Macaca mulatta: one gene and its partners. The protein of the gene in region 2 purifies or fractionates together with the protein of the main gene of each other region. This does not show direct contact. Links are inferred from orthologs where the notes say so. Each region holds a gene or a part of one and is shown on either strand. Other genes may lie near its edges.

Evidence for each region. Proteins that work in one complex are often made in the same cells at the same time.
Region 1: the proteins of CKAP5 (region 2) and SLAIN2 purify together in Homo sapiens (affinity purification with mass spectrometry; 4 studies listed by BioGRID and IntAct, counting the BioPlex papers as one, with this or other methods). This does not show direct contact. The link is inferred for Macaca mulatta from reciprocal best matches to the Homo sapiens genes CKAP5 and SLAIN2.
Region 3: the proteins of CKAP5 (region 2) and TACC3 purify together in Homo sapiens (co-immunoprecipitation; 5 studies listed by BioGRID and IntAct, with this or other methods). This does not show direct contact. The link is inferred for Macaca mulatta from reciprocal best matches to the Homo sapiens genes CKAP5 and TACC3.

The regions. Positions count from the first base shown.
Region 1 is NC_133410.1:47,883,013-47,887,394, forward strand, and holds part of SLAIN2 (SLAIN motif-containing protein 2), read left to right. Parts: intron 1-1,275; coding exon 1,276-1,440; intron 1,441-3,147; coding exon 3,148-3,306; intron 3,307-4,382.
Region 2 is NC_133419.1:18,845,655-18,850,036, forward strand, and holds part of CKAP5 (cytoskeleton-associated protein 5), read left to right. Parts: intron 1-760; coding exon 761-948; intron 949-1,555; coding exon 1,556-1,631; intron 1,632-2,686; coding exon 2,687-2,875; intron 2,876-2,944; coding exon 2,945-3,103; intron 3,104-3,610; coding exon 3,611-3,694; intron 3,695-3,788; coding exon 3,789-3,948; intron 3,949-4,382. UniProt on the Homo sapiens protein: Binds to the plus end of microtubules and regulates microtubule dynamics and microtubule organization. Acts as a processive microtubule polymerase. Promotes cytoplasmic microtubule nucleation and elongation. Plays a major role in organizing spindle poles.
Region 3 is NC_133410.1:1,844,746-1,849,127, reverse strand, and holds part of TACC3 (transforming acidic coiled-coil-containing protein 3), read right to left. Parts: intron 3,416-4,382; coding exon 2,399-3,415; intron 331-2,398; coding exon 255-330; intron 46-254; coding exon 1-45. UniProt on the Homo sapiens protein: Plays a role in the microtubule-dependent coupling of the nucleus and the centrosome. Involved in the processes that regulate centrosome-mediated interkinetic nuclear migration (INM) of neural progenitors.

The DNA of each region.
Region 1 (4,382 bases), on a different chromosome or scaffold from region 2:
CAGCTCTTTGGGAGGCTGAGGCACAAGAATCGCTTAAGCCTAAGAGGCAGAAGTTATAGTGAGCTGAAATCATGCCACTGCGCTCCAGCCTGGGTGACAGCAAAACTTTGTCTCAAAAAAAAAAAAAAAAAAAAAAAAGATTGAAGGAAGAAATAGTATTTTTAGTGTTAATTTTTTAAGTATGTGCATTTGATATCTTAGTCCTGCTGTTCTATTTATTTAATTGTATATGCATAGCACAGTTTTTTTTTTCTTTTTTTGACAGAAGTAGTCAGGTTGGCTTTTTTTTTTTTAAAGGATTTCCCATGTCTTGACCTTAAACTGGCTTCATAATAGTCGGCATTGCTTTAAAAAAAAAATCCAAACTTTGCAAAGGCTATTTAAACAACTTATTTCTTAGCTTTTTAAAAAAGTCATAGGTTGAGTGCAGTGTCTCACCCCTGTAATCCCAGCACTTCGAGAGGCCAAGATGGGAGGATCACTTGAGGCCAGGAGTTTGAGACCAGTCTGGGCAACATGGTAAGATCACATCTCTCCAAAATATATATATATATTTTTTCAAGACGAGTCTCACTCTGTAGCCCAGGCTGTAGTGCCGTGGCACGATCTCTGCTCACTGTAACCTCTGCCTGCTCACTGCAACCTCTGCCGCCCGAGTTCACGTGATTTTCCTGCCTCAGCCTCCCAAGTAGCACGCAACACCATGCCTGGCTAATTTTTGTATTTATTTTTTTTTAGTAGAGACAGGGTTTCACCATTTTGGCCAGGCTGGTCTCAAACTCCTGACCTCGAGTAATCCACCCACCTCAGCCTCCCAAAGTGCTGGGATTACAGGCGTGAGCCACCATGCCTGGCCCAAAGAATATTTTTTAAAATGAAAAGTAATACGTTTGTTACAGAAAAATGAGAAAACATAAGTATGCTTTTATATTCCATTTATTTTTAAAGGTCACTCAGGATTGATACAGCAAGTATCAAAGAATAAACTTTCCAACATGGTAGAAGTGAATTAAGCGGCCAATAATCTGTTTAGGAGTTACTTTTCCTGCGTTATTTTTGTTGTTTGGTGTGGCTCCGGTTTTATTTGCATACACAATTTAAGATAATAGAAACAATTTGTTGGGATTATTATATTTTTCTCCCACTACCATAAGAATATTTTTCATTTAAATTGAGATAGATAATGATTTAATTTTCTAATAGGAAAACTTTAGAAATGAAATGTTAACTTTTTCTCAGTTATTAAATTTGATTTTCCCCTTCTTATTAATGCAGCTCTCAAGAGGCAGAATTTATATAATAATCCTTTCAACTCTATGAGTTATACAAGTCCTTACAGTCCAAATGCCAGTAGCCCATACAGCAGTGGCTTCAATTCTCCATCCTCAACACCCGTGCGACCTCCTATAGTCAAACAGCTTATACTTCCTGGAAATTCAGGTAAGGAGAAAATGCTATGGAGCTATTAAGGACTGTTTTTTAGCTTACTGCACTGTATCAGAAAATAACATTCATCTGTAGTTCGAGTTCATTTTACTTATGAAACTTTTAACTGGCTAAAGAAAATATCATTGAGGAGCAACTTAGCACCAGGTACTATATCAGGCACACATAAGCCAGTGTGTAAAATACATAAAATTTTTTTTAGCATGTACCTAAAAGTTTTTAAGTCTGGCTTAATTAAATGGGTTACAAACATGACTCTTTTAATCAATAGATCCTTATTGAACAGCCTACCTGGGTTGTAAAAACTCCAGAGTTAAAACCTCTTTATAGGAATTTTAATAAATTTTGATACTGCAGCTAAATAATAGTATGAGGTTAGGGGTGAATGTACCAAAAGAGTGGGAGGGGCAGTAAATGATGTGGGAAGGCCAGATTTCTATAAACCAGGGAAAGAATGTTCTGCGCTGGTTCTTTGTGTGAGACTGTTACTGTGTAGCCTACTCTTCACGAATTCACCTATTCATTTACTCTTATTGTCGCTGAAGCTGTTGTTATAGCTGATTATTATAACTTCCTTAAAAATTAAGGTTAACCACCTCAAATTTTGACCTCTGCACTCCCTAGTCTAATGATCCTGCTCTTTGCTTAGTATATAGGTTGTTACTTGCTACTTACTTCACCTACGATGATACCATGTTAAAAAATTTAAGCTGCAATATTTGTTTAAAATAGGTAATTTCGTTCAGGCATTATTTGAGCCTGACCTTGTAGTACTTTTAATATCATGTGCACTCTGCTCTTCTTTCATTGATAGTATAAAGATTAATTATTTTGTACTCTTCTTGCTCTCCTTACATGCTTTTCATGTTGGAGCTGACTGTTATGGTGAAGAATAATGGAAAACAAGTGTTTCAGATAAATCTGTAATAGAAATATTAGTGGCAATGTTGGGATTTTATTATTTAGTAAAAGTTGGTGATCTGATGAAAATATTTCATTAGAAACAAGTTAGACTTTTTTTAGATGTGTGTATTCTTTATCTCTCTGGTCTGTTTTCTGTCTTGGTTTAGAATGATAAGTACTTTTTAAAAATCTAGTCTTTTTTTTTTTTCATCACATCTTTCGTGCTTCACTACTAAACTTCAGAGAAATCCTTAGATCCCCATTACTAATTTGGTAAAGAAGTTTTGTAAAACATGGCATAATGTAGGAGAAACAAGCCTCATGGTCTTTGTTCCTAAAATCTCTAAGGAATCTAATTTTATTCAAATTATAGTTTTCTCATTTAGAAAAATGAGGGAAAAGATGATGGTGTTTGTTAATGACTGTGAATTCGAGTGAAGAAAACACTACATCATAAACTCATCTATTTATAGAGCAGTTTCATTGGCTATCTTGTGCAAGTTGAAATCCTTAACATATAGTTATTGAACACCAATTACTTTGTGTTGAAAGCTGAATTGTTACATAAGAGAATAGATAAGTTATACTTAGATGAAAATATGTTTATGCCATAGCATATAAAGGAGTCTCAGTAGCCCTCATTTTTCTTAATGAAGTCAATTTCTAATTTCAGGGAATTTTTTAAGCAGAAAAGGCAGAACAAGAATGAATTAAAAGATATAATATCAAGTTAGTTACAGTAGGCATTTATTCAATCGTTGCTTTACCAAAGTTTGAATTTTTTTTCTTTTTTTTAAGGTAACTTGAAAAGCTCAGACAGAAATCCTCCACTCAGTCCTCAGTCCTCTATAGATAGTGAGTTAAGTGCTTCAGAATTAGATGAAGATTCAATTGGATCCAATTATAAGCTAAATGATGTAACCGATGTACAGATTCTAGCCCGGATGCAGGAAGAAAGTAAGTATTCTAATTTTTAAGAGTTGAGGTTTTTTACTATTGCATAATTTTGTTGTATATTGAATATGTCTTAAAGTGTTGTGAGGATACTAATGTAGTGAAAGTAGAAATGTTGCAGTAGACATTTCAGAGGCTTAGTCGACATATGTACATGTTTATTCATCAACTTGTTTTCAGAGTCCATTTTTTCATAGAGCAGTTATGCTGTGTGAGGGACAAAGAATAGTATTTATGCTGCTCTGCTTCTATGACTGGTTTTCATACCCTGCATGTTACTCTGCACTGGCACTTACTCTTGTAATTGTTATCTGTTACCCTTTGTGTTTTTAGTGTAAACCAGCGTTTCTCAATTTTTTTCTTTTTAGTTGCTCCCCTAAGGAGCCTTGTTAAAAACTGTTTTTCCTTTTCACCCACAGTCCCCATGAAATCTTAATACCACAAGATATACTAAGTACCATGAGGGCAATATACGATTATGACATCTAGGAATTTTTTCACACCCCAAGAACCAATTTTTGCCCTCTTGGGAGTAAATATCTCCTCACTTGAGAATACATGGTGTAAACTATAAAAAAGACCGTTAGGAGAACATTGGACTTGTGACATTAAATTAAATGAAGCATGCGATGGTGCTTTGCAGAGTGAACCATGAAAACTTTTTAGGCCACAGATACCTTTGAGAATCCTATAAAAATTATAACTCCTTTTATCACCAAAATGTACATATGCACAAAATTTTTAATACTTTTTGAAGGGTTCATGGCTGCTTGCCCTGGTACTCATCTGAAGGTAGTTATTCTTGCCAATGCATTTCATTAGAAGATGCCATCTGCATAACTATGAAGTAAGAAATCTCTCTGAAGTAATTTCTTTAACCTTTACGGTGAAAAGAATCCTTGAAATACATATTTTGACAAGTCTTGACAGTTGGCTGAGGGTAATGGAGCATTGCTACGGTTTAGTTCAAAAACGTTCTGTTGTCTGTATATATAATAGGTTCTCTTTAAATATGTGGCAAGCTTTATCAAGCTGTAGCATTTATTAAGAAACTAAAGTGTTTCTTATTCTGCTGATTC
Region 2 (4,382 bases):
GCAGGTGGATCACGAGGTCAGGAGTTCAGGACCAGCTGGCCAAGATAGTGAAACCCCATCTCTACTAAAAATACAAAAAATTAGCCAGGCCTGGTGGCGGGCGCCTGTAGTCCCAGCTACTCGGGAGGTTGAGGCAGAGAATTGCTTGAACCCAGGAGGCAGAGCTTGCAGTGAGCCGAGATCATGCCACTGCACTCCAGTCTGGGTGACAGAGCGAGACTCCGTCTCAGAAAAAAAAACAAAAACAAACTTTTACAATTAGAAAGAAGCACACTGATTAATTTTGCCTATTACTAGAGGCTTGGGGGAGTGTGGTGATTTTGTTTTTTCGTTAATATTCTAAATTTTAAAAACCACAACATAGCCGGGCGCAGTGGCTCGCGCCTGTAATCCCAGCACTTTGGGAGGCTGAGGCAGGTGGATCACGAGGTCAGGAGATCAAGACCATCCTGGCTAACACGGTGAAACCCCGTCTCTACTAAAAAAAAAAAAAACAAAAAATTAGCTGGGCATGGTGGCGGGCGCCTGTAGTCCCAGCTACTCGGGAGGCTGAGGCAGGAAAATGGCATGAACCAGGGAGGCGGAGCTTCCAGTGAGCCAAAATCACGCCACTGCACTCCAGCCTGGGCAACAGAGGAGACTCCGTCTCAAAAAAAACACAACATAATTGAATGTTTACCATAATATGCCACCCACATTTCTATTCTTCACTCTCTATATTAGAGTTTTACACCTCCCTGACACAAGTATGTCTGGATAGCTGTTTCAGATAGAGAGCCTTGCCCGGGAGGCATCCACTGGAGTACTAAAAGACCTAATGCATGGCCTTATCACCTTAATGCTGGATTCTCGGATTGAAGATCTTGAGGAAGGACAACAGGTCATCCGCTCTGTGAACCTCTTGGTGGTGAAGGTTCTGGAGAAGTCGGACCAGACCAACATCCTAAGGTATATCTGTACTCTCAGTCAATAGAGCCTGGGGCATCCTCTCTTTTGTCTACGCTTAGAAACCATCATAGTCAACTCCCTAGGCAAGCTAACAATCATAAATCAACTTCCTAGCCACGCTTAAAGTTATAACTGATATAACTACATCAGTAGTTATAACTGATATAACTACATCAGTTATAACTTTAAGCGTGCCTAGGAAGTTGATTTATTACTCTTCATCGTGGACCAAAGGTATTTTAGCCTGAGACCATAGCTAAAACTAGTAAATACTTAGCCAGCCAATATCATGCATTTTCTAGAATAGGACTGTAAAGTTTGTCGGTTACATTTTTCTTGTACATTTCAGGTACCTTTTATTCTTTCTCAGCTACCAATGACAATGAAAAATAGAGTCACAAACCTTACACTTAGCAAGTGGTGACTTAAAAGGCTTAAACGATGTTTATTTTCTTAACTGAACATCAGGTAGTCCAAGACAATTCCTGATCCATGACCTCTCAATTTATTAGATGAATAGAGTGATCTCACTTGACCTTTCAACTACTGATTTTAATTGGAATGCAGGTTTGAAACTTAATGCTGTTGTGTTGGATTTTTCTTCCAGTGCCCTACTTGTTTTGCTCCAAGACAGCCTGCTAGCAACAGCCAGTTCTCCCAAATTCTCAGAGCTTGTTATGAAGGTGAAGTTTAAATGATTTGATCTCTTTTCTTTCAAAGATGCAATCACTTTGTTAAAAGTATGGGGAAAGAGGAATTGGAGCTAAGAAAGCCATAGGCTCATATCAACCAAGTCATACCTGAAAATATATTTTTCATAATAAAAATATTAATAAAATAATTTTTAAAAAATTTAGCCAGGTGCAGTGGCATGCACCTATAGTAACAGCTACTCAGGAGGCTGAGGTGAGGAGATTACTTGAACCCAGGAGCGAGCTTGATCATACCACTACACTCCAGCCTTGGCAACAGTGAGACCTAATCTCTAAAATATATATATGTTTATGGTTTTTATATATATATGTGTGTATTTTATATATATGTATATGTATTATATATGTATAAATTATGCATACACATACATACACACACACACATATATATATGAATTGGTCTTCAGTTTTTCCCTTCCTACAATTTATATTCTAAGTTCAGGCCTAAACAGTTCGTGGCCTCAAACAGTGAAAGGGAGGAGGTATTTTGTAAATATTTTACTAATTCTCTGAGGATCAAAAGGAAAGAAGTTTGAAACAGATTTCATTTATTTTGGGGAAAAAGATATGTATAGCCCTATGATATTTGGCCTCTTTTGTGAAAGAGACCAAATGAACATATTTATAACATTGTAATACTGTTATTACACTGAATTAGTATCAGATATTTTGTCCCCTTGCATTAGATTTGGTTAAGCAACATGAACTACTTTACTCTCAGGAACCAAGGAAACCCAAGAGAGAATTTCCACCAGGTTAAATGATGGCCCCTAGCTCTGGGGAGTGGGAAGGAGTGGAGATGGGTGATTAGATATGAATGAGTGGACACACTTCAGCTGGTGTCATGATAGAAGTGATTTAAAATTTTCATGTTTTAGCAGCTGAACTTGAAAGATATGATGTGCCACATTTATAGCCCTGGCCATCTTTTAGAAGTGAGCCCAGAGCTTAGGGAATATGAATGGTGACAAATTATCCTCATTCTTCAGTCACTCCTTCTAACTCTTTCATTCTTTTTTCAATAGTGTCTCTGGAGAATGGTTCGACTATTGCCTGATACCATCAATAGCATTAACCTAGACAGAATTCTTCTAGATATCCACATTTTCATGAAGGTCTTCCCCAAAGAGAAACTGAAGCAATGCAAAAGTGAATTTCCCATAAGGACCCTAAAGACCCTGCTACACACCTTATGCAAATTAAAAGGGCCCAAGGTGAGTAAGAATCGCAACTGGTCTCTGAGGGAGCTTGAGAGAAAATCATAGAAATGGCAATGCTATCAGTTGTGCATGTGTCTCCCTCAGATCCTGGACCACCTAACGATGATCGACAACAAAAACGAGTCTGAGCTGGAGGCCCATCTCTGCCGGATGATGAAGCACAGTATGGACCAGACTGGGAGCAAGTCTGATAAGGAAACAGAAAAGGGAGCATCTCGAATAGTGAGTGGCCTGACTTGAAAGATTGAGGGAAATGAGGCTATACCGGAAGTGATCTTATCTAAGGTGTAGGTCACCAGGATACCTTTTCCGAAGGTCCAAGGTGAAGGCTCACAGACTGGTCCAGTCAGTCTCCTGCTGTGGTGCAGTAACCATTTCCACCTTGAAATTTTAAAATCTAAACTAAATATAACCATGTGTTTTTTGGTCCCCAAGAAAGATGCCTAAGGCATTGGTCACCAGGTAAATAGCTAGCTCTACTCAACCTGGAAAGAATGTGTCAGTTCCTTCTCCATCAAGTTGAGGTGGAAATCTGAGACTGGAGGCACTCAGTAACCCAGAATGTTACTGCTTCTGCTGTAAGACCTGCATCATTGGTGCATCTGTTATCTGTAGGAACATACCAATAAGGCCCAGATTTTGAGATATTTTCTGTTCATATCCAACCATCAGTTCCTAATTAATAACTCAAGTCTAACCAATTCTTCCTTATGTCTTTCAACTTTTCAGGATGAAAAATCATCAAAGGCCAAAGTGAATGATTTCTTAGCTGAGATTTTTAAGAAGATTGGCTCTAAAGAAAACACTAAAGAGGTGAGAGTGAAAGGGTTAATCTGAATAGGGGTCTGCTTTATGGTAAAGGGACACTGACACTCATCTCCCCCTCTTCCCTCTTCCTGTTCACCAGGGGCTAGCAGAGTTATATGAATATAAGAAGAAATACTCAGATGCTGACATTGAACCATTTCTGAAAAATTCCTCACAGTTCTTCCAGAGCTATGTCGAAAGAGGCCTTCGGGTGATTGAGATGGAGAGGGAGGGCAAAGGTCGCATTTCCACTTCAACAGGTATGATTTCCTTTTATAGCTCCAGGAATAAGCTCAAAATAGCTCCTAGCTCAGGAACCTGAAGTTTTGGTTGGTTTAAATTCATATCCATGAACCTCAATACTTAATGGTCACCAAATGATCTTCCCATTGCTATATCCAGTAGTCAATTCTTAAGCCACCTGAATTGACCCATCATCAGTATTTCACAAAGGTAAATTGTTCCCTGCCCTTGAGACAGCTTCTTCACTTCACTTCCAGTTCTCCATGCTGTCTTGTTTTCCTCCAGTCTCACTGGCTATTCCTTCTTGGCCTTTGACTGATTCTTGCTCACTCACTCACCTCTTTTTTTTTTTTTTTTTTTTTTTTTTTTTTTTTTTTTTTTTTTTTGAGACGGAGTTTCGCTCTTGTTGCCCGGGCTGGAGTGCAATGGCGCAATCTCGGGTTCAAGCGAT
Region 3 (4,382 bases), on a different chromosome or scaffold from region 2:
ACAGCTTGTGGGAAGCGAGATGCTGGCAGAGTTCAAGGCTCCCTCCTGGAGGAACGGGCAGAGTCACCCTGTGCAGTGCAGTCAAGGTACTTGGGGTGTAGCTTTGCCTCCCCACAACCTTGTCGAAGTAGACTTGGGGGAGAGGGAGCGGGACATCCCACCCCATCACCCAAGATCGCTGGGGGCTTCCACTGCCTGCTACTCTTCTACACAACCAGGCCAGGAGCACAGGCACCCACACAGGCACCCCTTACCTTGCTCTCTGCTCTTGGGGTCTCAGCTGTCAGCTGCACCACAGGTGTGTCCTCCGCTGAGGCTGAATGCAGCTGCCTGGGGAGACAGAGTCAGCAAAAGGTCCATGCCCCACACCCCATAACCCCGGCGTCCCCTGCTCCAGCACCGAGCTGCCACTGCCTTTCCCTGTACTGCTGTGCCGGCTACATGAACACTCAGCTAGAGTGCACCAGGCATGCGGCTGCCCCAAGCGACCTGGCCACAGAGCAGCCTCACCAACCTCACCCAGCAGGAAAACACACAACCTGCCTGCCAGCTCTGGAGGAAGCAGGCTGCGAGCCCTAAAGTCAGCACAACGCAGCCCAAGGGAACCACAAGGATGAGCACATCCCTTTCACTGTGAAACTGACAAAAGGCTTCAGGTGTGGAGGCTGGGGCAGGTGTGGGCAGCAAGCCACCCGAGGTGCCAAGGCAAGAGACTGAGGGCACAAGCTGTTCCAGTATAATAAATAGATAAAATAAGAAGTTATGCTAGAAATAGATGATAGATACGATTATATATGAATATCATTAACCATTAGTTTGTAGCAGTACTCTTTATTCCAATGTTATAATAATCTCTGTTCTACAATTATAACCTAGGACAAACCAGGCCATACAGAGGTAGGAGCTGAAGGGACACGGTGAGAAGAGACCAGAAGACAAGAGTGTGAGCCTCTGTCACGCCCGGACATGGCCACTAGAGGGCTCCTTGGTCTAGCGGTAGCGTCAGTGCCCGGGGAAGGCACCTGTTACTTAGCAGACTGAGAAAGGGAGTCTCCCTTTCCCTGGGGGAGTTAGAGAAGACTCTGCTCCACCACCTATTATGAAAGGCCTGACATGAGTCAAGCCTGTCCACAGCCATCCGGAGGCCTCGTCCTCCCTGTGATGCTGTGCTTCAGTGGTCATGCTCCTGTTTCACTTTCACGTTCTGCTCTGTACGCCTTCTAGAGCTTCTAGAGAACAGTAGCAGAATTAGTGAAAGTACTAAAGTCTTTGAAATGCATAGAAGAAATAATGGCGTTAAGCTGTCCTCTCTCTCTCCCCAACTCGGCTGCCAAACAGGGAAAGGCCTGGTGGACACGTGACTCACGTGACGTTACCTATCACTGGAGATGGCTCACATTCCTTACCCTGTCCCCTTGCCTTGTATCCAATAAATAACAGCTCAGCCAGGCATTCGGGGCCATTACAGTCTCCATGCCTTGGTGGTAGTGATCCCCCGGGCCCAGCTGTCTTTTCTTCTATCTCTTTTCCTTGTGTCTTTATTTCTATGATCTCTCGTCTCCGCACATGAGGAGAAAAAACCCACAGACCCAGTAGGGTTGGACCCTACAGGCAGGACAATCTCCCACTGAGCAACTCTAGGGGATGCAGCCTAAGACCATTCAGCCAGGAGGCAGCAGACCTACGGCCAAGACTCCAGCAAGCAGTAGACGCCACCCCAGGCAGTAACAGGCTTTGCCTGGCTTTTGGAGTTACATGCCCAAGTCAAGTTCACCTGAGGAGGGACATGACTGGGGGACAGGGTCCTGCCCAAGGTTGGCCGCATTTGGCTTCTGGCCTAAGCCCACCCTTATTGGATCCCTCCTTAGGCTGGGAGCACTAAAGAGATGCATGGCGCCAAGGCAAGGCCAAGAACCCTCAGCTGGGATCCACCTGAGCCCTGTTTTTGCCCAGAGGCCCCTTCTCAAGGGGAGCCCACCCGGCCTCAAAGGAGTATCTTTTTTTTTTTTTTTTTGAGACGGAGTCTCGCTCTGCCGCCCAGGCTGGAGTGCAGTGGCCGCATCTCAGCTCACTGCAAGCTCCGCCTCCCGGGTTTACGCCATTCTCCTGCCTCAGCCTCCCGAGTAGCTGGGACTACAGGCGCCCGCCACCTCGCCCGGCTAGTTTTTTTTTGTATTTTTTAGAAGAGACGGGGTTTCACCATGTTAGCCAGGATGGTCTCGATCTCCCGACCTCGTGATCCGCCCGTCTCGGCCTCCCAAACTGCTGGGATTACAGGCTTGAGCCACCGCGCCCGGCCCTCAAAGGAGTATCTGATGACACCTCTGGGTCCTTGACCACACACACACTGCGGGGCAGCTGCCCCACACCACACTCCCCACCCCATCCCCATACTTACTGGCTCAGACACGTGCCTGGCTCCTCCGTGGCAGGCCCAGCACTCAGCTGTTCAGACGCTGGCCGGCCCAGCCTGGTCTCAGGGCTTTCTGGGGGCTGGGCCTCTCTGTGACCAGACAGGGTGTCACCTCTGAATGGGTTGAAGTTTGGGTCATCCAGTTTGTCCCAGTCGAGGTGGTAAGAGCCCCGAGAAGCCGGCATGGGGGGGTCCTCCTCCACCTCCCGCAGGGCCTTTTGCTGCCTCGCTGCTGCTCTCCTCAAGGGAGGCTTGAGGCCAGATCTCTCTCCCAGTCTCCTTGGTGGGGCTGCCCTTTTGCTGGTGGCACCATCAGATAAATCAAATTCTAGTTTTATGGGTCCGCTCCTCGAGGAGCTGGCCATTTGGTCCACAGCTGCTTCTTCCTGAAGACTCAGGGTCATGGCCCTGCCAGTCACCAGGTGGCTGGTCGGGGCTGTGCTCTCAGGACAAGAAGTGTGTGCACAGGGAAGGGCCTGAGTGTCATCTGCTGGCACGGGGGTGCCCATACCCACAGGGCAGGCCAGGGCCTCACCAGGCAGACCCCCCAGGGGTGCTCCTCCACAGGCTTCCTCAGGGATCACACTAGGAGGCGAAGTGGCCCCTGCTGTGGGAGCAGAGACCCCACCATGCCGGCATTCTTCCTTGGCTCTGTGTGGAGTCTCTGCTTTGTGCTGGGACTCTGTCCTGGAAGGGTCTTCTAGGGTCTCAAAGGTGGGTGTCATTTTTCTGTCTAAGGAATAGGAACTAATATTTTCCTCCAAGGCTTGTTCAGGGCTGCCAGACACTTTTTCTGGAGACACCATTTGGTTCTCAGAACTTCCTGGGCTCTGGGAAGAACTTGAGCAGTCCAGGTCAGCCAGGGCACCCGGGCCAGGCTCGCTGGCGCTGCCACTCCCAAAGGCTGGGCTTGCATCCCCCAGGAGGTTGGCGTCAGCCTCCACTGGTTTCTGTAGAATTCCATGAGTAGTTTTGGCATCCACTTCCTTGATGAGCTGTTGGCTTTTAAAACAGACTTAGTCAACGTGAAGCAGTGAGTACTTGTGAGGTTAGGTGGCCTCGGCATCCATTCTCAACACAGGTTTAACTCTCTCACACCAGAAGCAGGGCTGAGTCACCCTTGGCACAGCTTCCCATTCTCCACCCCCCACCCTAGTTCCTCAATGTGGTTCCTTCCTGTCCTCCCAGGGACCAACTCCCTGTGGAACAGATGGACACAGCCACGTGACGTCCTCGCTGACCCCCGCCTCCGCCCCATTTCTTGGGGTTGGCTATGCATGGGGTTCCAACTTGCAGGGGTGCCTGTGGGCTGCTTGCCTGTTTAATTGTGCTCATCATGCACTTTGGCAAGTGCTGGACCCAGAGTTCTCCAGCAGCCTCTGCCACCCAAACAGCACTCGTCATCATGCACAAAGTCTGCACCCAGGCACCACAGCAAGGATGCAGCACAGGCTGCTGCCTGGGGGGTCAGATGTGGGACACCACACCCAAATGCCTCAAGCTGATGCCAGAGAAAGCAGCTTAGAGGCACCTCTCCCACCTGGTAGACTGGGCTCCTCAATTTCCCACTGCTTCCTTTATTTTTATTTATTTATTTATTTTTTGAGATGAATTTTTGCTCTGTTGCCAAGGCTGGAGTGCAATGGCATGATCTCGGCTCACTGCAACCTCTGCCTCTGGGGTTCAAGCGATTCTCCTGCCTCAGCTTCCCAAGTAGCTGGGACTACAGGTGCCCGCCACCATGCCCGGCTAATTTTGCTTTGTATTTTTAGTAAAGACAAGTTTTCACCATGTTGACCAGGCTGGTCTAGAACTCCCGACCTTAGGTGATCCACCCACCTCAGCATCCCAAAGTGCTAGGATTACAGGCAGGAGCCACGGTGACCGACATCCACCACTTCCTGTAAAAAATCCATTCAAGCGCCTGCCCACCAGCATACAGTGACCCCACCCTACTCCCTGATAGACG